7 linked regions of the Macaca fascicularis genome follow. The main gene of each other region encodes a partner of the protein of the gene in region 2 in a complex. Links are inferred from orthologs where the notes say so. Each region holds a gene or a part of one and is shown on either strand. Other genes may lie near its edges. The genes, in order: LSM5, SNRNP40, RBMX2, EFTUD2, LSM7, BCAS2 and PRPF6.

Region 1 (4,114 bases), on a different chromosome or scaffold from region 2:
GATGGGGTTTCAACCATGTTGCCCAGGCTGGTCTCCAACTTTTGGCCTCAAGTGATCTGCCCGCCTCGGCCTCCCAAAGTACTGGGATTACAGGCATGAGCCACCGTGCCTGGCCCTGTTTTTGCATACATCTTTTTTTTTTTTTTTTTTTTTTTGAGAGGAAGTCTCGCTCTTGTCCCCCAGGCTGGAGTGCAATGGCGCAATCTTGGCTCACTGCAACCTCCGCTTCCCAGGTTCAAGCAATTCTCCTGTCTCAGCCCTCTGAGTAGCTGGGATTACAGGTGCCTGCCACCACGCCCGGCTAATTTTTGTATTTTTTAGTAGAGATGGAGTTTTACCATGTTGGCCAGGCTGGTCTAGAACTCCTGACCTCAGGTGATCCACCTGCCTTGGTCTCCCAAAGTGCTGTGATTACAGGCGTGAGCCACCACGCCCGGCCCTTATAGATATCTTTAAAAGGTGTTCATTAGACAGTAATTTTAGCCATGTTAATTGTGGAAAATACCAAGACAGTTTATATCAAGAAAATGTTAATAGTTAACACATCACACAGTTGACATCTCAAAACAGTTAATATATTAAGAAAACAGTTAATATATTCTGCATACAGGGAGCAATATAGTTTTACAGTTTTCTGAGCCAATGCCAATAATTTTGTAATACAGAAATGTATAGCAACATCTTGAAAAATGTCTACAGTATTAGCATTAAAACAGTTCTACTGAATCACAGAAACTAAATTTGATTTAGGAAGCCTACTGTTTTTCTCCGCTATGCTTAGATTAGAACAGAGCTCCTTATTTTTCAAGACCAGAAGTGCAAAATATCATAGTTACTGTAGTAATCTCTAATTCTACTTGAAGCAGACTCCTATCCTTTAGGTTATTTGAAAACTGTCGTAGATAAGACTTGTTAAATCTGCTAGTGTTTCTAGAATGCACTTTAAATTGACATGATTCACTGCTTAAAAAAAAAAAATTGCAGTACAGTCAGTAATTAAAAAACCCTGGTGACAACAGAACCCATATATTTTGTATTGACCTTCCTTCCTCCCACTCCACCAAAGCAGAAGCTAAAAACCTACAACCTACACATATCAACCTGCTCCTCCGCTGCTCATAACCATTTTTCAGGCGCAGAAGGAAGGGGTTGTGGGGGCTGGGCTTCATGTGGGGCAGGTGGGAGGAGTTGCAAAGGAGTCAGGTTGAGAGGCTTGGACTCTGCTTTCAAGGTAATAGGCTCAGAGTACTAAACCCAAAAAGAGATGGAATGAAAATAATACTCTTTTAAAATCGCAGGACTAGAATAACCATTTTACAGGTATCCAAGTAAACTTCCTTTATTGTCAAGGATATTCGGTTTCAGGTTTTAAATGCGTCTCAGATTGCTACACATAATATTTAAATGAAGGGGAAAAAAGCTCTAGAAACAAACAAACAAGAATTCTCGGGTAAGCAAGTAATTTAAAGGCTGAATACACAGATACGCAACCTCACCAGTATGCTCCACGTTATTACATATTTGAGAATAAGGACGGAGGCCACAGAGGCAAAGGCAAGGAGGTGAAGGAATCGGACACTCGGAGAGTGAATCGAAAAGATGTGAAAAAGCAAGGAAAACAGAAAAGAAGAGGGAAGGGGGAAAACTTTAAGGAGGAAAATGAGAAGGCAAAAGAGAAGGAAGTGCTTTGAGATTGAATCCAGGGAGGAAAAAGCAGGTGTGCCACGCCGCACCTCCAGGTCCCGCGGACACTACAGGCTCCGCAGGCCCAGCCGCCCGGGTCACGTAAGCCCCACCCCGCTGCTCCACGTCAAGGCCCCCTCCGGTCCCCCCCCCGACCCCCCGAACCCCCGACCCCCCGCCCCCGTCCAGTCGATCGCTTTTTTCCTAGCCCCACCTAACTCCCCCAGGCTCCACCTCGGTCTCTCAGAACCCCCAGCCGTCAGGGCCCTCCCGGCCTTGCCCCGCCCCGCCTCGCCGGCAGCTGCCGCCGCGTCAGGTGACAGCCCGGAAGCTGCGGAAGCGGATGAGAGAAGGGCGGCCGCGGCCCTGGGGGCGGGAGCTGCTCTCCCTCCACAGATCTCCCGGTGCGGCCCTCATGTGCTGCGCTCGCTGACACCCGAAGTCCGCGGCTCTCCGCACACGGTGGGGTCGTCAGACCCGCTGCCCTTGGCAGTCGAAGTCGTAGTGTGGGCCCGCGGCGGCCGCCCATGGAGAAGGCCAGGAGAGGCGGGGATGGCGCCCCCCGGGGGCCCGTACTGCACATCGTGGTTGTTGGCTTTCACCATAAGAAGGGCTGCCAGGTGAGGAAAGGGCCCGCCCCCGCCCCCGGCCGTTCGGGCGTTCGCGCCTCCCGGCGCCCCCTGCCTTCCTTCTGTGTTCCCAGCTCGCGTCGTGCAGTCCTCCCCACCGCGCCCGCGACCCTTCGCCTCTCAACCTGACTCCTTTGCAACTCCTCCCACCCGCCCCACATGAAGCCCAGCCCCCACAACCCCTTCCTTTTGCACCTGAAAAATGGTTATGAGCGGCGGAGGCGCAGATTGGTATGTGTAGGTTGTAGGATTTTAGCTTCTGCTTTGGTGGAGTGGGAGGAAGGAATCGAAGACCGGCCCCACTCTCTTCCCCGTCCATTATTGTCTCCACTGGCTTTCTGGGTGTCCACCTATAATGGGAGTCTAGAAAAATTCAGTGCTTGGACTCTGCTTTCAAGGTAATAGGCTCAGTGGGCTTGCATACTAATACTTCAGGTAGCTTGCGCACCTGCAGCCTCTGTAGAAAAATCAGCTTCCTTTGTTTATCTGATGGAAGCCTTGGAATCTGTCGTGTTAAGTACGGTTGTCGATTAACCCTGCCTCCCCCTTCCCATTGGTCCTTAGTTTTGCTATTTCATCTTCTCCGGATTTTACCTTTTGGTGAGAGATTAATCTCTCCAGATCAACCGCAATAAGAGAAAGCGTATTACCGACCAAACCGTTCAAATATAAAGGTGTTTTTCAGCAGCCTCATTGAATCTTTAATCCATCATCTGAAATGGAATATTTGCGATCTGTATATTGAAGGCAAGAGAACAAAATAGAAACAGGATTATCTAATGAGCAAGCAAACACTGGAAGGGAATGATGTCATAATGTGCTAGTGAACAGTAAATTGAAATGCTTTTTTGAAGTATTAAAAATAGTAATGGCCACCACTAGCTCATGAAGCGTTTAGTTTCTTGCATTCCGCAGGAAATGTAACATTTTAGAAGACGTATTGGCAAAAATTAAGTTCTCTAGGGAATAACAGAAAAAGTGATGGGAGTGAAAAAACTGTGCGTAATTTTGAAATATATCCTCACACCTGTAATGGCAGCACTTTTAGAGACTGATATGAAAGGATCACTTGAGCTCAGGAGTTTGAGACCAGCCTGGGTAACAAAGGGAAACTGTCTCCACAAAAAATTTTAAAAATTAGCTGCATGTGATAGCGCACTTGTAGTCCCAGCTAGTCGGGAGGCTAAGTTGGGAAGATCTCTTGAGCCCAGGAGGCTGAGGCTACAGTGGCCCTTGATCCCACCACTGCACTCCTGCCTGGATGAGAGAGCAAGACCCTGTCTCAAAAGAAAATTTTGGCGCCGGGTGCGGTGGCTCAATTCTGTAATCCCAGCACTTTGGGAGGCCGAGGCGAGTGGATCACCTGAGGTCAGGAGTTCGAGACCAGCCTGGACAACATGGTGAAAGCCCCGCCTCTACTGAAAATACAAAATTAGTTGCACGTGGTGGCACATGCCTGTAATCCCAGCTACTTGGGAGGCTGAGACACGAGAATCGCTTGAACCCGGGAGGCAGAGGTTGCTGTGAGCCTTGCACTCCAGCCTGGGCAACAAGAGCGAAAAAAAAAAGTTTTGAAAATTGTGTATTACGTGCATAAGTCTTATAATGACTGGTCTAGAATCTGTTCTTTATAACCTGTACATCAGGTGTTTTTAGAGGCTTTAATTAAAGTATGTAAGATTTGCCCCAGGATAGATTAATCAGCTACCTAATTCTCCACGTTACTATTTTACTTCCAGGTGTAAAGGATTAGAGGTGCGTGGCTCATTGAGTTGTGACTCTGACTTCACGTGGTTTTAACT
Region 2 (3,500 bases):
GCTGGGATTACAGGTGTGAGCTGTCACACCTGGCCTGTTTAGTGAATTTTTGAACTAATTTTGTAAAGTTTGTATTCTTTGTCCTGTGTTACCACTGAATTCTTTTTTTTTGTTAGCTTAGTGGTCAGCTAGTGAATGACAGAAGTTTCCTAAATTACCTACAACAACAAGAACAAAAGCTCTCCCAGTCTTTGCAGATTGTCTTTTGGTATGTTGGAGCCTGCCTTCAACTCCTTGCTGTGCAGTTTACATCTCTCCTTAGCTTTCACTTCCTGCTTGTGCAGAGCCTGAAGGTCAACCAGAGAGCTTATGGCCTTCTCAGATCTTTTCTAAGTATGTGCCCAGCCCTGGACATGCAAGTGGTCTAGATTGCCAGGGATGGGCCAGGCATGGTGGCTCATGCCTGTAATCTTAGCACTTTGGGAGGGCGAGGCAGACAGATCACTTGAGGCCAGGAGTGTGAGACCAGCCTGGTCAACATGGCGAAACCCTGTCTCTACTAAAAATACAAAAATTAGCTGGGTATAGTGGCACGCGCCTATAATCCCACCTACTCGGGAGGCTGAGACAGGAGAATTGCTTGAGCCTGTGAGGTGGAGGTTGCAGTGAGCCGAGATCGCACCACTGCACTCCGGCCTGGGTGACAGAGGGAGACTCTGTAGGTAGGTAGGTAGGTAGGTAGATAGATAGATAGATAGGTAGGTAGGTAGGTAGGTAGGTAGGTAGGTAGGTAGGTAGGTAGATAGATAGATAGATAGATAGATAGATAGATAGATAGATAGATAGATAAGATAAGATAGATAGATAAGATAGATAGCCAGGAATATGTCAGTGCTTTTCAAAACTCTTACTCCCCAAATTGTCTCCTTCCCCAGCCCTTCCTCCCAAGGTTTTTGGTTTGTATTTTTGCCCCAACTGTTTTTCCTTGCCCCCAGGCACCAGAGGCTAATAATATCCTTTCCTTTAAATGTTTTCTTTTTTTTTTTTTTTTTTTTTTTTTTTTTTTGAGACGGAGTCTTGCTCTGTCACCCAGGCTGGAGTGCTGTGGCCGGATCTCAGCTCACTGCAAGCTCCGCCTCCCGGGTTCCCGCCATTCTCCTGCCTCAGCCTCCCGAGTAGCTGGGACTACAGGCGCCCGCCACCTCGCCCGGCTAGTTTTTTTTTTTTTTTTTTTTTTTTGTATTTTTTAGTAGAGATGGGGTTTCACCGTGTTAGTCAGGATGGTCTCGATCTCCTGACCTCGTGATCCGCCCGTCTCGGCCTCCCAAAGTGCTGGGATTACAGGCTTGAGCCACCGCGCCCGGCCTAAATGTTTTCAAGGAAAGTTCCAAGTTAGACAAAATAAATGTAAGTCCTGGCCGGGCGCGGTGGCTCACGCCTGTAATCCCAGCACTTTGGGAGGCCGAGACAGGCGGATCACGAGGTCTGGAGATCGAGACCATCTTGGCTAACACGGTGAAACCCCGTCTCTACTAAAAGTACAAAAAACCAGCCGGGCGAGGTGGCGGGTGCCTGTAGTCCCAGCTACTCGGGAGGCTGAGGCAGGAGAATGGCGTAAACCCAGGAGGCGGAGCTTGTAGTGAGCCGAGTTGGCGCCACTGCACTCCAGCCTGGGCGACAGAGCAAAGACTCCGTCTCAAAAAAATAAATAAATAAATAAATAAATGTAAGTCCTTTGAGCTTATCCTTCAGGGAGCCACCAGACAAGTAAAAATAAACAATTTTTATTGTTTATTCTTTGACAATAAGAAATAGGCCCCCCTTTGCTTCCTCAGTACTAGGAAACCATACTGGGAATATGGGTTATCTTCAAAGCTGTTGCTGAGCGGGAGACAGAGCCAGCACAAGTTAAAACACTACAAAACCCTTTTACTGGGACTCAGGGGTTTTTTTGTTTCCTTTTTCCTCATTAAGGGTTTGCCTGGTTACTATAAACTTTTGATTAGTTATGAGAGTTCCGACAGTTGATTCTGACAGGTTTTTGCTGGTTCATTTGTTGTTTTGTGGAAGGACAAGCTTTTGTCATTGTTTATTATACTATTTTCACTGACGTACCCGCTCTCTATTTTTTTAAATGTGGGTTGCAGCCCACTAATGAATTAGTATCTACAGTTTGAAAAAATTGTCTGATATCCTTGTTGTCCTAAAAAATATATGAACCAAGTAATTAGTGGAATTCCATTCTAAGAGTATGTTGATTTAACTCTGTTTATTCACTTTAACAAAGAAGTCTGAAAATATAACTGAAGTTTTGTTTCACCAGCCTTCAAATGTCTTAGCAAAATTGAGGACACTGCTTACCATGTGTGTTATTAGGATATCCAGGAGTTAGTGAAATGGGATCCCAATTATAGATGTGTTCATGTTCACAAAGTCCTTGTACTTAGGGATATTTGTACTGTGCAGTTACTTCTTAGAATGATATTAATGATAGACCCTGTTGTCCTTTGCTTCAGCTTTGGGACATCCGGAAGAAAGCAGCCATCCAGACATTTCAGAACACGTACCAGGTGTTAGCTGTGACCTTCAATGACACAAGTGATCAGATTATTTCTGGTGGAATAGACAATGATATCAAGGTATGTTTGATGTTTATGATATATTTCCATTTCACCCATCTGCACTTAGAAACAAATTTTTTCAAACTTCTGAAATTGTGGTAGCTTTGCACTTAATACCAACTGAAAGGAAAATAGTAATTTGGAACTTATTTTCTTTTTCTCCTGTCTTCATTGACTTCCTAAATTAAAGGTTGCACTGCAGATCTTATAAATGCTGTCAGGGACCAGGCACTTAATGTGAAGTGTGAAGTCTCTGTAGGGGGACTATGTAAAAAATAAAGAGTGCATTTCCTTTTAAAGACATTCAGAATCTTTTTTTAACCATCTTAGTTTAATGGGAGCAGTGAATCAGTTTGTGATTCTGTATCCTCATCTCTCACTGTGTTTTTCTTTTTGACACTATGGAAAGGGAGTTTTCTAAGTTTCTCTAAGAATGAGAGAAGGTAATGATATTAAAGAGGCAATAGACCATATGGCAGTACAGTGTAGCTCAAACTTTCAAGTAATTGACTTGAGTTCTAATCCCAGTTTCACCATTTTCTAGTTTTGTGACTTCAACACCTTCTTTAAGCCTCTTTTTCTTGTGTGAATGCTGAGGGGGTAGTGATAACAAAAACTACCACATGGCATCTACCACATACCATTGTAGCGATTAAATGAGCCTGATTAGAGCACTTAGCAGAATTCCTGGACATAACAAGTGCCAGGAAATGTGTTATTTTGGTCCTGCACGGCTTCTGTCTTCCTTTCCTATTGGCTTCCTTGGGGATCTTAACGACTTTGACCTTACCTTCTGCTTTATAGTGAGAATAGTAACTGTCAGATAAATACTCAACTTTCTGTGTTGTCCTTTCCTAGAAGTTGTACTGTATTTCCATCCCTCGTTGTTTCCTTTGCTGTTACTTTGGATGAAATATCCTTGCTTTTGGCCAGGTGCGG
Region 3 (3,500 bases), on a different chromosome or scaffold from region 2:
GAGACGGGTGGATCACGAGGTCAGGAGATCGAGACCATCCTGGCTAACACGGTGAAACCCCATCTCTACTAAAAAAAAATACAAAAAAATTAGCCAGGTGTGGTGGCGGGTGCCTCTAGTCCCAGCTGCTCAGGAGGCTGAGGCAGGAGAATGGCGTGATCCCGGGAGGTGGAGCTTGCAGTGAGCTGAGATCGCGCCACTACACTCCAGTCTGGGCGACAGAGCAAGACTCTGTCTCAAAAAAAAAAAAAAATTCACATGCTAGGAGGTGAGGAATGTGCATAAAGAGAACAACCTTGGCAGCAACATGAAGGGGCCACTGTCTAGGCCTCCAAGGAGAGTGCCTCAAGAAGCCAACTTGGATGTCTGTCACCCTTGATATGTCAAGTTGCTGTACAAGGTAATTCCCATCCTGAGTTACCTCTTCAAAGACCTTATCTCCAAATGCAGTGGCATTCTGAGGCACTGGGGGTTAGGATTTCACCATATTAACTTGGGGAGAGAGACAATTCTGCCCATAGCACCAGCCTTCCACTGATACTCCCCACTTTCCCAGTTAAACTATGCTTCCCCATACCTTCCCCTTTCACACTTGAGTTGATTCTCAACTATCAATGAATGCAAGGAAGAGCAGACATTAAGGCCATCCAGAATCTTCTCTTAGGTCTTAATGCTTTACCTTTTTTGTGCTTTTTTGTTGGTTTTTCATCTTCAGAGCTCTCAGACAAACTTGGTGAGGGGGTACGAGCCCCACAGCCCTTCTCCTGGAGCTGTCTGGTCACATCATCCATTTCTTCCGAGTCCTTAGGAGCCCGATAGTTAGACACATGATCCACTCGGATAGTTCTTCCTTTGATCTAAGCAAGACAGGCAACGCTTCAGTGAAGACGGCCCTCATACCAAACTGCCAACTATTTGAACACAAGCTACAGAGAACCATGATTTGAACTATATCCTTTACCTTCTTGCTAAATTCTGTCACTAAAGCAGACCTGCCCAACTGGTGTGTCATAGCATGTACACCTAAATATTAATTTATACTAATATTTAGTTAATATAATTTTATTATTATAAAATATATAGTGCAGCCTCTCAGTGCAGCCAGGTGAGGCCTGGGGCAATTGTACCAGCAGCCTCATCACTTTACTCCAGGGCACCATGCAAATATCTTCATGTTCTGTATGTGCCATAAAATGAAAAAGACTAGGAAATACTACCTCAGAGCACAAGCATCAGGGAAGACTGAGATTTAGATGCATAATGAATTACCCTTGATCTGTAACCTAAGTTTACAGTGAAACATACCCTAGGAAGGTCTGGCAACTAGAAGGAATTCTTGAAATCTGGCTTAATGCTACAACTGCTTTCTCGACCCAGTAATTAGGAGGCAAAGTCAGACCAACAGTTTGGAGGGAGAAAGGAATCGAGAAAAAGGCACTTGCTTTTTTCTTCAGCCCTCACACCTTGCTCTAGCCCCACCATACTGGAACAATAGGCTCACACTGATTCTTGCACTACGAATCACAACTCTCCAGGTGAACAACAACAAAAAATTAACCCCTCTGGTCGGACGCAGTGGCTCACACCTGTAATCCCAGCACTCTGGGAGGTCGAGACGGGTGGATCACTTGAGGTCAGGAGTACGAGACCAGCCTGGCCAATATGGCAAAAATTTGCCGGGTGTGGTGGTGCACACCTATAATCCCAGCTACTCAGGAGGCTGAGACAGGAGAATCACTGGAACCCAGGTGACAGAGGTTGCAGTGATCCAAGGCCACGCCACTGCACTCCAACCAGGACAACAGAGTGAGACCCTGTCCCCCTCCCCCCGCCCCCCAAAAAATTAACACCTCACTTAAAATAAAAACATTCTATTTTTAGGCAGATACAGACTTACTCTCTAGGCAAAGCCATTCAAAATTTAAAGTTTGGCTTTTATTGTTCCAATACAAGAGCAGATTTTTATTTTTACCTTGAAGCCTGAGCGGCTTCTGTTATGTATCCTCTTCTCCATTTTGAAACACTTTGGAAAACCTTCCTTTTACAATGACGCCCTCTGACTGCTGGCTTCCTTAAACATCAAGCCTAGAACCTTGTTCCACTCTGTTCTATAATCTCCAGCTATCCCATACTCGTGAATCAGTGACAAACTCTCCAACTCAAGCCTCCCCACACCAACTCTGTGACACTGTTCATTTCAACTGCAGCTTTTTTCCTAAATGAGTGCAGCAACCACATGGAGCATCAATACGCCTGACTTGCCCTATCTCCTTCTAAGAACTCAGTGCCTCACTTACGACAGTGGAAATAAGAGGGATCTGGGGGGAGAAAATTTCAGGATGAAATTACTTTTGTAGAATCTGTCATCGGATTTTAACTAGAGAATTTCTAGAGCCCAATATGCTAGGTCACTGGAGATACATGACAGGCATACATGGGTATGTCCTAGATTATGAGGCCATGTTGAAGCCCAAAACTCCCAACACAGGACAATATGGAAGAGCAATGTTTGCTAGTCTCTTCATCCTCCAGTGCACCAGAAATGATAGTAGACAGTAAAAAAAGAAAGGTGAAAAACAGAGGCCTGGATGAGAGGCAGGCCTGGTGCCTATGCTCCTGGGGAGATGGTTTGTTTACAGATGGGGAAAAGAAGCAAGTACTGCAGGGCCACGAGCCAACAGAATTATTTCCTGGAATCTCTTCTTGACCAGCGTCTCCACATCTCTGCAGCCCCCGCAACAAACCAAGCTGACAAGTGCTGCCCTTGTGTCTGTGGGAATCAGGTAGAAAAAGAAACACCTATACATGGGAAAAAAGTCCAACCAATCTGCTTAATAAGCACACTCACCTTGATCCCATTAAAATTGTCCACGGCCAGAATTGTGCTCCTCTGGTCTTCATAGCAGAGGAAACAGAACCCTTTGGATTTCCCAGTTTTCTTGTCCCGCACGAGATTAATGTTAACAATCTCGCCATATCTATTTATTTTATAAAAGAGTAAGACATTATTGACTTAAAAGGCAAAAACATGCAGATAAGGTAATAAAACAAAATTCAAATAACATAGTGTGTACAAGAGATACATCTAGAACAGGATGACACAGAAAGGTTGCAAAGAAAAAGTCAGACAAGTACAGGAACACCCAATTAAAAGTGGGTGGCAATATCCAGAGCAAAAACTAATTCAAGGCCAAAATAAAAATATCACATGAGACTAAGATTATTTTACACTGAAAAAGGCCTAAATACACAATAAAGGTATACATCAGGAAAACTCTGAGTCAATTAAGAAATCAAACATTTTAATTAAAAAAAGCTATTAGAAATGCAAAGAGAAACTAAGAGAGAAAGTTATGGGAGAATGTAACACATCACTTTGAAGTTTATCACGCATAAAGTGGACAGAAATAAAATAAAATCAGATGAATTAATACACATAATTATACTAACAAATATTAATGTAGGACTATTAGATACATAGATATCTTTGAATACTACAA
Region 4 (3,500 bases), on a different chromosome or scaffold from region 2:
TGGGATTAGTTTCTAGTAGACAGAAGCATGAACAAATAATTCATAAGAATGGAAGGGAAGGCATCGTATATGAGTACAGGTGTAGGCAGGTGGGTAGAGGGACTGCTGGGTGCTTGTTTTCCTTCACACAAATTACAGCATGCCAACCTCTTCCTTAAGAACACAAAACCCTCCAGTGGTAAGACTGGCTACCTCCTACCATCTTACACTCTACTTCTACTAAAGTGGCCTAAGATTACATTAGCTCTTTTGGCAGCCACATATATCTTACTGGTGGTGGCTCCAAAATAGCTATCAAGCCAGTTTTCTACTGCCCCATACTGCTGAATATATTATGAATCTAACTGCAGGATTTTATATAATCATTTCTGACTGCCTGTAATTACCTCTACCGAGTCTACAGTAGCTCAACAAGTCTAAAATAAAACTAAACCAGTATAAACCAGTATTCTTTTATCATTGTTTTTTAAAATTTTTAATTTTTTTAATTTTTTTGAGATGGAGTTTCACTGCAATCTCTACCTCCTGGGTTCAAGAGATTCTCCTGCCTTAGGCTCCGGAGTAGCTGGGGCTACAGGTGTATGCCACCATGCCCAGCTAATTTTTGTGTGTTTTTTTTTTTTTTTTTTTTTTTGAGACGGAGTCTCGCTCTGTCTCCCAGGCTGGACTGCAGTGGCCGGATCTCAGCTCACTGCAAGCTCCGCCTCCTGGGTTCACGCCATTCTCCTGCCTCAGCCTCCCGAGTAGCTGGGACTACAGGCGCCCGCCACCTCGCTCGGCTGGTTTTTTGTATTTTTTAGTAGAGACGGGGTTTCACCGTGTTAGCCAGGATGGTCTCGATCTCTTGACCTCGTGATCCACCCGTCTCGGCCTCCCAAAGTGCTGGGATTACAGGCTTGAGCCACCGCACCCGGCCAATTTTTGTATTTTTAATAGAGATTGGGTTTCATCATGTTGGCCAGACTGGTCTCAAACTCTTGACCTCAGGTCATCCGCCCACCTCAGCCTCCCAAAGTGCTGGGATTACAGACATGAGCCAATGAGCCCAGTCTTAGAATGGACATCTTTCTTTTCTGTCTCCATTACCAAAATCTATGCATCTCTGTTATATACCTCAATATAATTAAAAAAAAATAAATCTGTCCAGGCGCGGTGGCTCACACCTGTAATCCCAACACTTTGGGAGGCCAAGGCATGTGGATTGCTTGAAGTCAGGAGTTCAAGACCAGCCTGGACAACATAGTGAAACCCCGTCTCTACTAAAAATACAAAAAACATTAGCCAGGCATGGTGGCACACACCTGTAATCCCAGCTACTTAGGAGGCGGAGGCATGAGAATCGCTTGGATCTGGGAGGCAGAGGCTGCAGTGAGCCAAGATGGTGCCACTGTGCTCCTGCCTGGGCAACAGGGTGAGGCTGTCTCAAAAAAAAAAAAAGAGAGAGAGAAAAGAAAAGAGGGGGCTGGGCATGGTGGCTCATGCCTGTAATCCCAGCACTTTGGGAGGCCAAGGCGGGTGGATTCTTGAGCTCAGGAGTTCGAGACCAGCCTGGGCAACATTTTGTCTCTATGAAAAATAAAAAAAATTAGCTGGGCATGGTGATGCATGCCTGTAGTCCCAGTTATTTGGGAGGCCAAGATGGGAGAATCACTTAAGCCCAGGAGGTGGAGGTTGCAGTGAGCTGAGATTGCGCCACTGCACTCAAGCCTGGCAACAGAGTGAGACCTTGTCTTAAATAAAAATAAGTAAGAGCGAGATGAAAAGAGCAATATATTTGCTTTACCTCATCAAGATCTTTGGTCTCTCTACCCAATTCATCGTCATCTTCATCAGAATCAAGCTCTGGTCCAATATAATTCCCAAACTCATCATATAAGTCGGTGTCCATGATGCTAAAATTCAAGGAAAGGAGTTAGATTCTGGCAAAGTAATCATGGCCTCCATGTGGTGGCCCCACCTACCTAGTCTTATAGTTGGCCATACCCCTTTCAGAACATGCCTCCTCCCAGTGACATCAATCTACTGAAGGCTCCTCCCAAAGACCAGTACTTTACCCAAGTCTCTGCCCTACTTGTCTCTATTTATGTAGTCTTCCCTCCACTTTTTTTTTTTTGTTTGTTTCAAGCAGAGTTTAATAGGCAAGAAGGAAAGAAGACAGAAGGAAGAAGCTCCCCACTACAGAGATGGGGCGGGGTGCTCCAAAGCCAAAAGAGGAGGTCCCCTTCCTCCACTTCTTTAATACCAAATTTAATTTTAAAATAACTCAATGTCAAAAAGTGGCAAGAATAGTACAAACAACTTACTTTTTCCTAAATTATTTGAAAGTGAGCTGTTGACACAGTGGCTCATCACCTCCTAATACTTTAGTGTAAGGGTGTGCAAACTCTGGCCTGTGGCCAAATCTGGCCTCTCCAGCTGTTTCTGCATGGCCCTCTAGCTAAGAATGCTTTTCAACATTTTTAAATTGTCAAAAGAAAAATATTTCACAATACATGAAAATTAATTATAAGGAATTCAAATGTCTGTGTCTACTTAAAAAATTTCATTGGGAGGCCTGGCGCAGTGGCTCACACCTGTAATCCCAGCACTTTGGGAGGCCAAGGCGGGCAGATCACCTGAGGTCAGGAGTTCGAGACCAGCCTGGTCAACATGGCAAAACCCTGTCTCTACTAAAAATACAAAAATTAGCTAGGTATGGTGGCATATGCCTGTAATCCCAGCTACTCAGGAGGCTGATGTAGGAGAATCCCTTGAACCCAGGGGGTGGACGTTGCAGTGAGCTGAGGTGGCACCACTGCACTCCAGCCTGGGAGACAAAACGAGACTCCATCTCAAAAAAAAAAAAAAAAAAAAAAAGGTTCACTGGAAAACAGCCATGCATATTCATTTACATCATCTACAGTTGCCTTTACACTGTAATAGCAGAGTTGAGTAGTTGGGACTGAAACCATATGGCTCACAAAGCCTAAAATACTATCCAGTCCTTAACAGAAAAAGTTTGCCAACCTCTCCCTCACCTTGTGTGATTCCTACAAACAGGAACATTCTTCTACATAACCACAACACAACCATCAAAATCAGAAAATTAATATTCACACATTACTACCACCTAATTTACAGATCCCATTCAGGTTTCACAGATTGTTCCAATACGTTTCACAGATTGTTCCAATGATATCTTACACGCCCAAGGATCCAATCCAGGATCATGTTTGCATTTGGTTGTCATGTCTTTGGTCTCTTTGGATTTACAATCTTCAGTCTTTCCTTCCAAGGACTGTCGTGACATCCTTAAGGATGTCCCTTGATTTGAGGTTGTCTGATGTTACCTTATGATAATATTCAGGTTATGTGTTTTAGGCAGGAATATCATAGAAGTGATGCTGTGAGAACATGTGAGAACTGTGGTTCTCAAAGCATTTCCTATCAGGTGATACATGATTTCAATTTGCCTCATTGGTGGTAACGTTAACTTTGATCACTTCATTAAGGTGATGTTT
Region 5 (4,138 bases), on a different chromosome or scaffold from region 2:
CCGCCTTAGGTCACAACTTGGCACCTTGGGTTAGGGCTCTCTGACCCGGTGGTGACCTCTGCCATCTGATCCTGCTCCGCAGTGTCTGGTGACACTGAGAAGGATGAAGGGGGAGCTGTGTGTCCTCAGCAGAGGCCAGCCCACCCTCCCTGTCCGGGACTCCCGTCCTCTCCCCCCAGGCTCCTCCAGCCCAGGCCCAGGAGCGGTTCCGCCTCTGCGCTCACTGAGGGGCGTCCCTCAGCCACCCGCTCCCTACCCTCCTTCTTACCCCTGTCATCTTTCAGGTGCTTCCTCCAGACACCAACCCACACCCCTTAGGGTGCTGCCCTCTGCATGCCCCCCACCAATCTCAGGAAGCAGGCACCCCAGGCATTATTCTGCCCGCCTATCTTCTCCCAAGGCAGGGCTGTGAGCCTGTCCATGGCCGTTCTGCGCTGCGAACTACGACCAGAGGCGAAAGTGGCCCACCGCTCATCTCTGTATGCCAAAGTTTCACTGGCCCACCAGCACACTCGCCCGCTCAGGCACTGACCAGGGCGGCTCTCCTGCTCTGCGGGCATAGCTCACTGGTTGTGACAAGAGACCATCTGGGCTGCAAAGCTGAAGATATTTGCTGTCTGGCCTTCTACAGAGAAGGTCTGCCCACCTGCATACAGGCTTTAGCTCCTACCTCCACGGCTCCCTCTCTCTGCGCTCAAGTCCCTCCCCTGCAAAATGAAACCTGTCACCTATGAGATGGGGTCAGACGCAACGGTTCAGGTCCTTGGCACCAGCCTGACCAGTGAGCCAGCCCTCCTCACAGGGACAGATGTGAGCACTGAGGTAGGTAGGTCTCTAACCAAGGTTCCCCTCCCCGGGGTGTGGGCTCGGGCCTGTGACTCTGAGGGGACATGACGTCACTCCTGCACTTAGGTTATGCAGCTGTTTAAGCCCCTGAACCAGCTGACTTTGAGCCAATCTAGAGGGAAACACCCTGGGTGAGCCTGACCATATCAGGTGAGTCCTTCAGGGAGCAAACCCTTTCTCTGCTGTGTGTGTGCGTGTGTGTGATTTATTTATTTTTAGACGGAGTCTCGCTCTGTCTCCCAGACTGGAGTGCAGTGGCGCGATCTCAGCTCACTGCAACCTCTGCCTCCTGGGTTCAAGAGATTCTCCTGCCTCAGCCTCCTGAGTTGTTGGGATTACAGGTGTGCACCACCACGCCCAGCTAATTTTTTTGTATTTTTCGTAGAGATGGGGTTTCACGAAACCCCATGTTGGTCAGGCTGGTCTCGATCTCCTGATCATATGATCCGCCTGCCTCAGCCTCCCAAAGTGCTGGGGTTACAGGCGTGAGTCCCTGCGTCCCGCCAAGAGCTGCAGCATGCATCACCAGCCCACTGCCCATGCGAATGCTTCCTGCCCTCTGAGAGCTCGCCCTGTCTTCACTAGATTCCATGGAAGAGTTGCAGGCAGAGGCAAGCATCAGGTTAACATGCACGAAACCGCAAACGGTGACAGGTGCTACCAGGATCCTAGAACGATGGGGGGCCTGACGCCAGGGTCAGGGAGGGCTTCCCAGAGCAAGCACCTGTGGAACTTGTGCTTCTGCCGCCCTTTGCAGTCATAATCAGAAGTATGGATTCGGATTTTACTCCAAAACAACCGGGAGCCTCAGAGGTTTTCAGCAGGGAGCAAGAAGCCTCCATTTCTTTTTCATTAGGTGCCTCTGGCCGCTGAGTGGAGACTGACCTTAGTAGCTGTGATTCCCAATCACAGCTTGGGGGTCGGGGGGCGATCCTATCCCCAGAGAACACTAAGCAATGTCTGAGGCTATTTAGGTTGTCACAACTTGGTGGAGGCCAGGGATGCTGCTCAGCACCCTGCAGTGCCCCAGGACGGCCCCACTCCAGAGAATCCGGCCCCAAATGTGTCCACACTGCTGTGCGGGAAAGACCTTGACTTAGAGGGAGGAAGAGGAGAAGCCGGGAGATCTGTGGGGATCTGGGGCAGTCCTTGGACACACAGGACTGCTCTGGAGGCCAAGCCGGAAATCCCAATACCGGCTGCGCCACTGTGACTTTGGATTACGTTTGTTTCCCGCTCCTTGCCCCAGTTTCCCCGCCTGCAACATGGCCATACCAGTTCCTACCTCCCGGCGTAATTCGGAAGCCTGCACAAGGTAGTCGGCGTCAAGCGTGTAAAGAGGCGCCTCTGCGGCGGCTCACGCCTGTCATCCCAGCACTTTGGGAGGCCGAGACGGGCGAATCACTTGAGGTCAGAAGCTTGAGACCAGCCTGGCCAACATGGTGAAACCCCGTCTCTACTAGAAATACAAAAATTAGCCAGGAGTGGTGGCGCCTGTAGCCCCAGCCACGCAGGAGGCTGAGGCAGGAGAATCGCTTGAACCCGGGAGGCGGAGGTTGCAGTGAGCTGAGATCGCACCACTTGCACTCCAGACTGGGCGACGGAGCGAGACTGCGTCTCAAAATAAATACATAAATAAAAATAAATAAAAGAGGCGCCTCTGCATGCATCCTCATCACCTCTGTTGCTGACTTTATTTTAAAATTTTAAAGGGGGGGTGCCAACGGCGGGAGCCGCCTCACCTTCGCGTCCTCCCTGAAACTTCACCCGGATCGTCTTGTCGATGTACTTGGACAAGTCCAAGATGCTCTCCTTTTTCTTCTTCTCCTTATCCTGCGGGGAAAGCAGAGCGCATGAGGCCTGGAGCGCGGCCCGAGCCCCACGCCCCCCGGCTCCGGATTCTGCCGCGCGCTCACCGCCATCTTGTCGCGCCGTGAGGCTCTTCGCAGACACCGCCCCGTGCCCTGTGACCTCTCCCCTCCCCCCCACGCGCATGCGCGGCGCATGCGTGGCCCGGGGTCTCGGGGCGTTGCTGGGAAACATCTGCCGACGGTTGCGGCGGGCACCGGCCGAGATGGCGGCGGTGGCGGCGGCTGCGCTGGCGCGGCTTGTGGCGGCCTTTCTGCTCCTCGCGGCCCAGGTGAGCGCGGCACCGGTCCCGACGGCACCGCAGGCTGCGGCCCTTCGGCCTCTCGGCCCCGAGGCTACGCGCAGGAACGACCCCTCTTGGCCCGTCTTGGGGGTCCAGCCTCGGGGATCCGCGGTCCCCTCGTTGTCGGCCGGCGGTGCCGGGGCCCGGCCGTGACCTTGCGGGGCTGTCCCCGGCTTCTCTCCCTTCCCCGCCTCGGAGGCCCTCCGCCGCTGCAGCGCCCCTCACTTCCCACCGGGCCTGAAGTTTGTGCCCCCTCCATCTCCCTGTTCTGCTTGTCCGTTTCGGGGTCTCCAGCCGCCGCGGGGGACGCCTCTCTCCCGCTCTGTGGCCTTGGGCAGGCGGCCGCCCACCCCGCTCCGAGCCTCAGTTTCCCTTTAGGCGGAATGGCCCGGTGCTAAGCTAACCTCACCCTAGGGGGTGCGGTGGGGGAACCCAGAGGCGTCCCGCGTGTCCCCCAGTGACTGGCCAGCATCCTGGAGCGGCCAAGAGCCCAGCCCTGCACTGGGGTCGTATTCCCGCTCCATCTTTTACTCCGTGACCTTGGACGAGGGAATTCCCTGCTTTGAGCGTCAGTTGCTCGTCTGGAGAAGGGGGGTCGACTATGGTGTGGATTCTGGAGATGCTACCCAGGGTGACCAGCGCCTAGGGACAGCACGCCTTCCTTATATTCATTGTGTATCCTTTGATGTAGAGTGTCAGGTTCTAGCGGGGACAGTCTACGAGATGGCACTGTCGTAACTGCATCTTTTATTTTCTTAATTCCAAATCTTACCTCTTACCTGAGTTTGGTGGCTCAGGGAATGGAACCCGGAGCAGCCTCACAAATGCGGCCCTTAACCTTCACTCCTCTCTCAGAGTTCTCTTAAGGCGTCGCTGCCACTGGGCTCCTTCTTAGTCTCCACTCTTCCAGCCCCACCGCCATCCCCCTGCTGTGGCTGCCTTTGTCCCCCACATCCCTAGTCCATCCTCGACACAGCAGGAGTGACCCTTTCAAAGTATGTCAGTCCATGTCGCATCTGGATGAACGTGCCGTCCAGTTGTGACCTGGCGCCAGGGAAGCCTGCAGCTCATTGCAGGAGCTTCGTTGTCTAGTCTTTTCTCTTACCCTGAAATGCCCGTGGTCTCTGCAAGGCTGGAGGG
Region 6 (2,504 bases), about 84 Mb from region 2:
TGTATTATTGAACTTTTCTCCTGTGCTAGTTACAGCTGACCTGGACTGGTATCTGTTTTTTATTTTGCTGCGAATAGGTTACATGCAAATATGGACTGATATCTCAAATCTACAACAGTTTTCTTTTTCTCACCTCTCTCTAGTTAGCAGTGGACAGGAGGAGAGAATGACAGGATAAATGTATATGAAGAAATACAGAGATAAAAGGGGGTTGAGAAATAATAAGTGGATATAATCAGATATATTCCATCTTCTCTGTGACAAGAAGTCATGACAGTTTAAGAAGTGACAAAAGACTGTGTGTGATGTCTCACGCATGTAATTCCAACACTTTGAAGGCCAAGGTAGGGAGACTGCTTGAGCCCAGGAGTTCAAGACCAGCCCAGACAACACGGTGAAACCCTGTCTCTACAAAAAAATAACAAAAATTAGCCGGGCATGGTGGCTTATGCCTGTAATCCGAACTACTTTGAAGGCCTGAAGTGGGAGGATCGATTGAGCCCAGGAGGTTGAGGCTGCCATGATTATGCAGCTACACTCCAGCTTGGGCAACAGTAGAGCAAGACTCTGTCCAAAAAAAAAAAAGCCAGGTGCAGTGGCTCACGCCTGTAATCCCAGCACTTTGGGAGACCGAGGTGGATGGATTGCTTGTGGTCAGGAGTTCAAGACCAGCCTGGCCAACGTAGTGAAACCCCATCTCTGCTAAAAAAAAAAAAAAAAAAATACAAAAATTAGCAAGGCATGGCAGTGCACGCCTGTAATCCCAGCTACTTGGGACGCTGAGGCAGGAGAATTGCTTGAACCAGGAGGCAGAGGCTGCAGTGAGCTGAGATCACACTACTTCACTCCAGCCTGGGCAACAGAATGAGACTGTCTCATAAGAAAAGCAACCTAAGTACTCAAAGTATCAGGCAGGGCATGGTAATTCCAGCAGTTTGGGAAGCCAAGGTGGGAGGATTGCGGCTCCTCGGGAGGCTGAGGCAGGAGGATTACTTGATCTTGGGAGGTGAAGGCTGCAGTGAGCCATGATCACACCACTGCATTCCAGCATGGGTGATAGTACTTGATTATGGAGTGTCCAACATAGTTCTTGGCACAGAGCTCCAGAAATACGATTTTTAGCAAAAAAACTTGAAAAAGTTCACTTTTAATTGGTACTATTTTAATGTATTTAAATCTGATTTTCCTCTTTTCCTTCAGAAATCTAGTTCATATGATTGAACACGCACAGAAAGAACTTCAGAAATTAAGGTAAATTGTTTTTTCCTATTACAGAATGAACTTTAAGTGAACCTTTAATGAATAGAAAATAGGAGGAAAAAGAAAGCAATGAGACTGCAGCCAGGTGAAAGTAAACAATTGATCCACTCTCTTTGTTCAACATCTGGCACAGGGTTTGCCCTACCTAAGTAGACGAGTAGTAGGCCTGAGGTCTGAAAACATCTCTGCCACTTGTAGCTTGCAAGTCTGCAAACATGGAAAGACACTTTTAGAGGGGGAGAAAGTTGGAGAATAACACATATAATCTGATTTTTAAGACCGATTTCGGCCGGGCGCGGTGGCTCAAGCCTGTAATCCCAGCACTTTGGGAGGCCGAGACGGGTGGAACACGAGGTCAGGAGATCGAGACCATCCTGGCTAACACGGTGAAACCCCGTCTCTACTAAAAAATACAAAAAACTAGCCGGGCGAGATGACGAGCGCCTGTAGTCCCAGCTACTCGGGAGGCTGAGGCAGGAGAACGGCGTAAACCCGGGAGGCGGAGCTTGCAGTGAGCCGAGATCGCGCCACTGCACTCCAGCCTGGGTGACAGAGCCAGACTCCGTCTCAAAAAAAAAAAAAAAAAAAAAAAAAGACCGATTTCTACACACACATATAGGAAAGCCTGGAAGGACACCCAGCAAAAACTCAACAGGAGTTATCAGGAAAAAGGAGACATGCATGGGAAGAGGGACTTGAGACTTGTAATCTGTGTGTGCTCGTGTGTGTGTGTGTGTGTGTGTGTGATTTCTCACAATGAGCATGTTTTATGAAACTTGTAATCAAAAAATAATTAGAAGAACGGTAGTTTCTACAGTTAGCCTATAACTGTACATGATATTGTTCCCATGGGATTAAGATATTCTCTTGTGTTACAGAGTTTTCTGTTGATTTTTGGTCTTACATTAAAATGTCATTAGGTTGTATAATTTTTTACAGAAAACATATTCAAGATTTAAACTGGCAGAGAAAGAACATGCAGCTCACAGCTGGATCTAAATTGAGAGAAATGGAGTCAAAGTGAGTATCTATAATTCCATCATCTTTTAAATTGTTTAGCCCAGTCTAAGGTCGATTCAATAATATGATTCAAATAGCATTCATGTGGGATGCCATAGGTGTCAAAGAAAATGCTGTTTTCTGAATTCACCCTTCACTGTCTCTGCCTTTCTATAAGGTGTTAAAGAGAACTATAAACGAGAATTGAACCATTGGTGAAGGATCCTTTGCTAAATTGAACCATT
Region 7 (3,500 bases), on a different chromosome or scaffold from region 2:
CCATGCTGGACTATCAGAGGCCAGGTTGGGGGTGTGCATGGCACCCCCCCAAACTGCTGGAGAAAGGATGGCGGGCACTGCTGCTGGGCACGCTGGCAGGCCTGGGACTCTGCGTTGCTGCCACCCTTCCCACCCTCTCCTCGGGGTCACCTCCCCCTAGAGCCAGAGGCACTGCAGTCAAGAGACGACACGAGGAACCCTCCACTCCAGGCAGCTGTTTGGGTTCGTCTCAGTTGCCAAACGGAATAATTTCACACTCTGATAACCTGATTGTTTTTTAAGCCTTGTGGTATTCTTAATTGCCCAGTGTTAGATAAACTGTGATTTAAGGAGCACAAACCCAGATAGCAGGCACACAAAACACTGGCTTGGGAATAGCAAGGAGTGACTTATTTACTTTAGCAAAGCCTTTTATAAGGTTTTATGGCTGCACTATCAGAGTGTCACCCAGAAGTCACTCTGGGAGGTGGACGCACAGGGGAGGACCAAGGGAGCACCAGGCAGACACAAGCCACCCTGTGGGGAGCCTCTCTCATCTGTCAGGGGCCCGCGGGCAGGGGAGAGGAGGTGCCCCTACAGGCAGGCCTACGGGGGCAGCACCCAGACCTCTGGAGACCAAGCACCACTGCCACCCAGTGCTGGGGAGAAGGGATGGAGAGAATCAAGAGCCAGCACTAGGAAGGCTGTTGTCTCTGCATGACCCATGGCAGGGCAGGTGAAGGGGAAGCCGGGCACGTAAGGTGAGGCCCCTCGCCGCTGGGGTCAGACACACCACCTCCGCCAGGTGAGCCCATGTCCTGAGCTGCAGCCTCAGGAGTCCAGGGTTCTTCTAAGAACTCCCTTCACCCCTACATGGTCACTTCCCAGCCTCCTGATGCACACTCAGGCCCAGCTCCTTCTCAGACTGTCATCCTCTTTCTAGAAGGAAACAGAGACCCTGTGGGTTGGGGATGGCCCCGAGCTCCCTGCTGTGCCCCGCACGTGGCAGGCCTTTGCCCACATGTGCCTAGAATCTGCACGCTCTGCCCCACGGCTCCAAGCAGCTGCCTGCGAGGTTTCAGAGTCATGTCCCCAGCGAGTCTCTGACCCAGCGGCCAGCACACCCGAGTGTGAATCACATGGTGTGAGGTCACTCACGGATCTCTGCCTCCCCTTCACACCACGTCTTCTGAGACAGCCTCCAGCAGTCATCGTGGCACCCCTGGGCACACAAATTAGGCTCCAGTCTCCAGCTCTGGATTATTTACGGGCCACAGAGCTGCAAGTGATTTCTTGCCCCAACATAAAGCCTCTTGTCCAAAGGGGCTTCGCTTACCACTTAAAATTCTGTGTGAACCAACATCAGCAAATCTATCCTGTAACCCAGGCCTGTGTAGGTGTAAACTAAAAAACTGCAGAGACGAAGAGAGCAGCCTCCTAGAAGAAGCCGGAACAGAGGAAGGGCTGAACCACACCCAGGGGATCCCTGGGGAGGGAGGGAAGGAGAGAGAAACAGAAAAAAGAGAGAGAGAGAGAGAGAGACTGGCTGTCCCTCCCCAGGGCTTTGGGACAGAAGCCCACAATGCTGCAGCACCCTCAGGTTTGTCTCTGCCGGGAGAGGCGCCTGCCCCGGACCACAGCAGGAGTGACAGCAGCCGAGGATCGGGGGAGCGCACCCTGCCGCCGGGCATCTTTACAATGACCAGGGAGAGGCAGACAGACTGGAAAAAGAGCCCATGAGGACCCCAAGGGTCAGCAATCCTGTGGGGACGCCTCACTCACTTGGCCACGGCCAGGAGCACATGAGGGTCATGCTCACACTTCTTCAGGGCATCCACGCTCTTGGTCCTCCTCTGGGGCCTCGCCTCGAGGAAGATGGCCTCAGACCACAGGATACCTGCAATTCAGAAACAAAGAACAAAGATCTGCACTCCAGCCTCTGGTTCCGGAAAGGTGCCCAGCCTACAGAGATTCTAACCCAGGACGTCCTCAGACGGTGACGGGGCCTCCCACACACTGCTTGCAGAACTTGTGCAAGAACCACGAAGGATGAGTGTTCTGGCCCACCCAAAACCATGGCAGCCCCAAGGGCACAGACAGGACACTCTGCAGAGTTTCACTCTGTCGTTCAGGCTGGAGTGCAATGGCGCGATCTTGGCTCACTGCAACCTCCCACTCCCAGGCTCAAGCAATTCTCCTGCCTCAGTCTCCCAAGTAGCTGGAATTACAGGCGTGCGCCACCATGCCCAGCTCATTTGTGTATCGTAGTAGAGACGGGGTTTCACCATGTTGGCCAGGCTGGTCTCAAACTCCTGACCTCAGGTGATCCACCCGCCTCGGCCTCCCAAAGTGCTGGGATGACAGGCGTGAGCCACCGCTCCTGACGGATTTGTTTGTTTTTTGAGACAGGGTTTCACTCCTGTGGTCCAGGCTGGAGGGCAGTGGTGGGATCTCGGCTCACTGCACCCTCTGTTTCCCAGGTTCAAGTGATTCTCGTGCCTCAGTCTCCCAAGTAGCTAGGATTACAGGCACGTGCCACTGTGCCTGGCTACTTTCTGTATTTTTTATAGAGACGGGGTTTCACTATGTTGCCCAGGCTGGTCTCAAGCGACGGACTCCTGGACTCAAGCGATCCTCCCGCCTCAGCCTCCCAAAATGCTGAGATTACAGGCGTGAGCCACCACACCTGGCCAATTTCTTTTAATTTTAAAAGAAAAAGAAATGATAACACTTCAGAACATGAAATCAAATTCTCCCATTTTGAGGCCAGGAATTTCATTAAAATGTCTTAATGGCCAAGTATAGCTGAAACTTTTGACTGAAATCATTCACACAAACAAAACATTTTAATAAAGTCTGTCGGAAGCCTGAGTCCCCACTCCCTGAGGAAGCGCCAGCCCTGTTGAGTCTGGGAAGCCAGAAAGCACCCCCTTACCAGAGTTAGGGCACTCCTGCAGCGCCTTGGCCATGAGCGTATTTGCGATGTTCTTCAGCCCTGCACGGTACTCCAGCCGCACGGACTCCAGCCTGAGGAGACAGGCCCCAGGAGGTCCCACAGCCATCTACCAATGGCGCATATTCTGGAAGCTTCTGGGAAGCCTTGTCTGAAAAGGCTCCCCACCCAGTCACAGCAGCAAGAACTCCATTCCCTGCACAGCACAGCTCACCCACCACAGAAGCAAGGCACTGCCGCCCACATCCCTGCCAGCCCCACTGGCAACCGCCCCAAGGGCAACACCTCAGAAACTGACGCTGTCCAGATGCAGGTGAAGGCATCCAGCACAAGCAAGACCAGCCTGGGAGAGCCAGGGCCGCACAAGGCCCCCAGGAGCTGCCTGTCTGCAGAGTGCAGTACTCCAGCCCCGTCACCCTGAGCTGGATGCAGCACCTCCATGAACAGAGCCTGCACCTCGCAGACTCCTACCCACCTCCAGGGCCCTCCACGCCACCTCCTCTGTGGAGTCAGCTCTCCGGGGTCCATCCTTCCCTCGTCCCAGCCATCGTCAACCCCTCCCTCTCCC

Evidence for each region.
Region 1: SNRNP40 (region 2) and LSM5 share a complex: the UniProt entries of both Homo sapiens proteins name them as parts of the U4/U6-U5 tri-snRNP complex. The link is inferred for Macaca fascicularis from reciprocal best matches to the Homo sapiens genes SNRNP40 and LSM5.
Region 3: SNRNP40 (region 2) and RBMX2 share a complex: the UniProt entries of both Homo sapiens proteins name them as parts of the minor spliceosome. The link is inferred for Macaca fascicularis from reciprocal best matches to the Homo sapiens genes SNRNP40 and RBMX2.
Region 4: SNRNP40 (region 2) and EFTUD2 share a complex: the UniProt entries of both Homo sapiens proteins name them as parts of the minor spliceosome. The link is inferred for Macaca fascicularis from reciprocal best matches to the Homo sapiens genes SNRNP40 and EFTUD2.
Region 5: SNRNP40 (region 2) and LSM7 share a complex: the UniProt entries of both Homo sapiens proteins name them as parts of the U4/U6-U5 tri-snRNP complex. The link is inferred for Macaca fascicularis from reciprocal best matches to the Homo sapiens genes SNRNP40 and LSM7.
Region 6: SNRNP40 (region 2) and BCAS2 share a complex: the UniProt entries of both Homo sapiens proteins name them as parts of the postcatalytic spliceosome P complex. The link is inferred for Macaca fascicularis from reciprocal best matches to the Homo sapiens genes SNRNP40 and BCAS2.
Region 7: SNRNP40 (region 2) and PRPF6 share a complex: the UniProt entries of both Homo sapiens proteins name them as parts of the U4/U6-U5 tri-snRNP complex. The link is inferred for Macaca fascicularis from reciprocal best matches to the Homo sapiens genes SNRNP40 and PRPF6.

Annotation. Positions count from the first base shown.
Region 1 is NC_088377.1:97,812,501-97,816,614, reverse strand, and holds the start of LSM5 (U6 snRNA-associated Sm-like protein LSm5), read right to left. Parts: upstream 2,801-4,114; 5' UTR 2,632-2,800; coding exon 2,508-2,631; exon of another isoform or gene 2,499-2,507; intron 2,304-2,498; coding exon of another isoform or gene 2,211-2,303; exon of another isoform or gene 2,029-2,210; intron 2,005-2,028; exon of another isoform or gene 1,898-2,004; intron 1-1,897. Other genes in the region: late secretory pathway protein AVL9 homolog, read left to right, coding at 2,211-2,303. UniProt on the Homo sapiens protein: Plays a role in pre-mRNA splicing as component of the U4/U6-U5 tri-snRNP complex that is involved in spliceosome assembly, and as component of the precatalytic spliceosome (spliceosome B complex).
Region 2 is NC_088375.1:203,728,177-203,731,676, forward strand, and holds part of SNRNP40 (U5 small nuclear ribonucleoprotein 40 kDa protein), read left to right. Parts: intron 1-2,456; coding exon 2,457-2,579; intron 2,580-3,500. UniProt on the Homo sapiens protein: Required for pre-mRNA splicing as component of the activated spliceosome. Component of the U5 small nuclear ribonucleoprotein (snRNP) complex and the U4/U6-U5 tri-snRNP complex, building blocks of the spliceosome.
Region 3 is NC_088395.1:136,684,462-136,687,961, reverse strand, and holds part of RBMX2 (RNA-binding motif protein, X-linked 2), read right to left. Parts: intron 2,979-3,500; coding exon 2,849-2,978; intron 858-2,848; coding exon 680-857; intron 1-679. UniProt on the Homo sapiens protein: Involved in pre-mRNA splicing as component of the activated spliceosome. As a component of the minor spliceosome, involved in the splicing of U12-type introns in pre-mRNAs.
Region 4 is NC_088390.1:65,948,244-65,951,743, forward strand, and holds part of EFTUD2 (116 kDa U5 small nuclear ribonucleoprotein component), read right to left. Parts: intron 1,893-3,500; 5' UTR 1,889-1,892; coding exon 1,784-1,888; intron 1-1,783. UniProt on the Homo sapiens protein: Required for pre-mRNA splicing as component of the spliceosome, including pre-catalytic, catalytic and post-catalytic spliceosomal complexes. Component of the U5 snRNP and the U4/U6-U5 tri-snRNP complex, a building block of the spliceosome.
Region 5 is NC_088393.1:2,988,140-2,992,277, forward strand, and holds the start of LSM7 (U6 snRNA-associated Sm-like protein LSm7), read right to left. Parts: upstream 2,801-4,138; 5' UTR 2,769-2,800; coding exon 2,763-2,768; intron 2,680-2,762; coding exon 2,589-2,679; intron 1-2,588. Other genes in the region: SPPL2B (signal peptide peptidase-like 2B), read left to right, coding at 2,921-2,986. UniProt on the Homo sapiens protein: Plays a role in pre-mRNA splicing as component of the U4/U6-U5 tri-snRNP complex that is involved in spliceosome assembly, and as component of the precatalytic spliceosome (spliceosome B complex).
Region 6 is NC_088375.1:119,799,384-119,801,887, forward strand, and holds part of BCAS2 (pre-mRNA-splicing factor SPF27), read left to right. Parts: intron 1-1,200; coding exon 1,201-1,251; intron 1,252-2,199; coding exon 2,200-2,280; intron 2,281-2,504. UniProt on the Homo sapiens protein: Required for pre-mRNA splicing as component of the activated spliceosome. Component of the PRP19-CDC5L complex that forms an integral part of the spliceosome and is required for activating pre-mRNA splicing.
Region 7 is NC_088384.1:120,167,027-120,170,526, reverse strand, and holds part of PRPF6 (pre-mRNA-processing factor 6), read right to left. Parts: intron 3,007-3,500; coding exon 2,915-3,006; intron 1,877-2,914; coding exon 1,762-1,876; intron 1-1,761. UniProt on the Homo sapiens protein: Involved in pre-mRNA splicing as component of the U4/U6-U5 tri-snRNP complex, one of the building blocks of the spliceosome.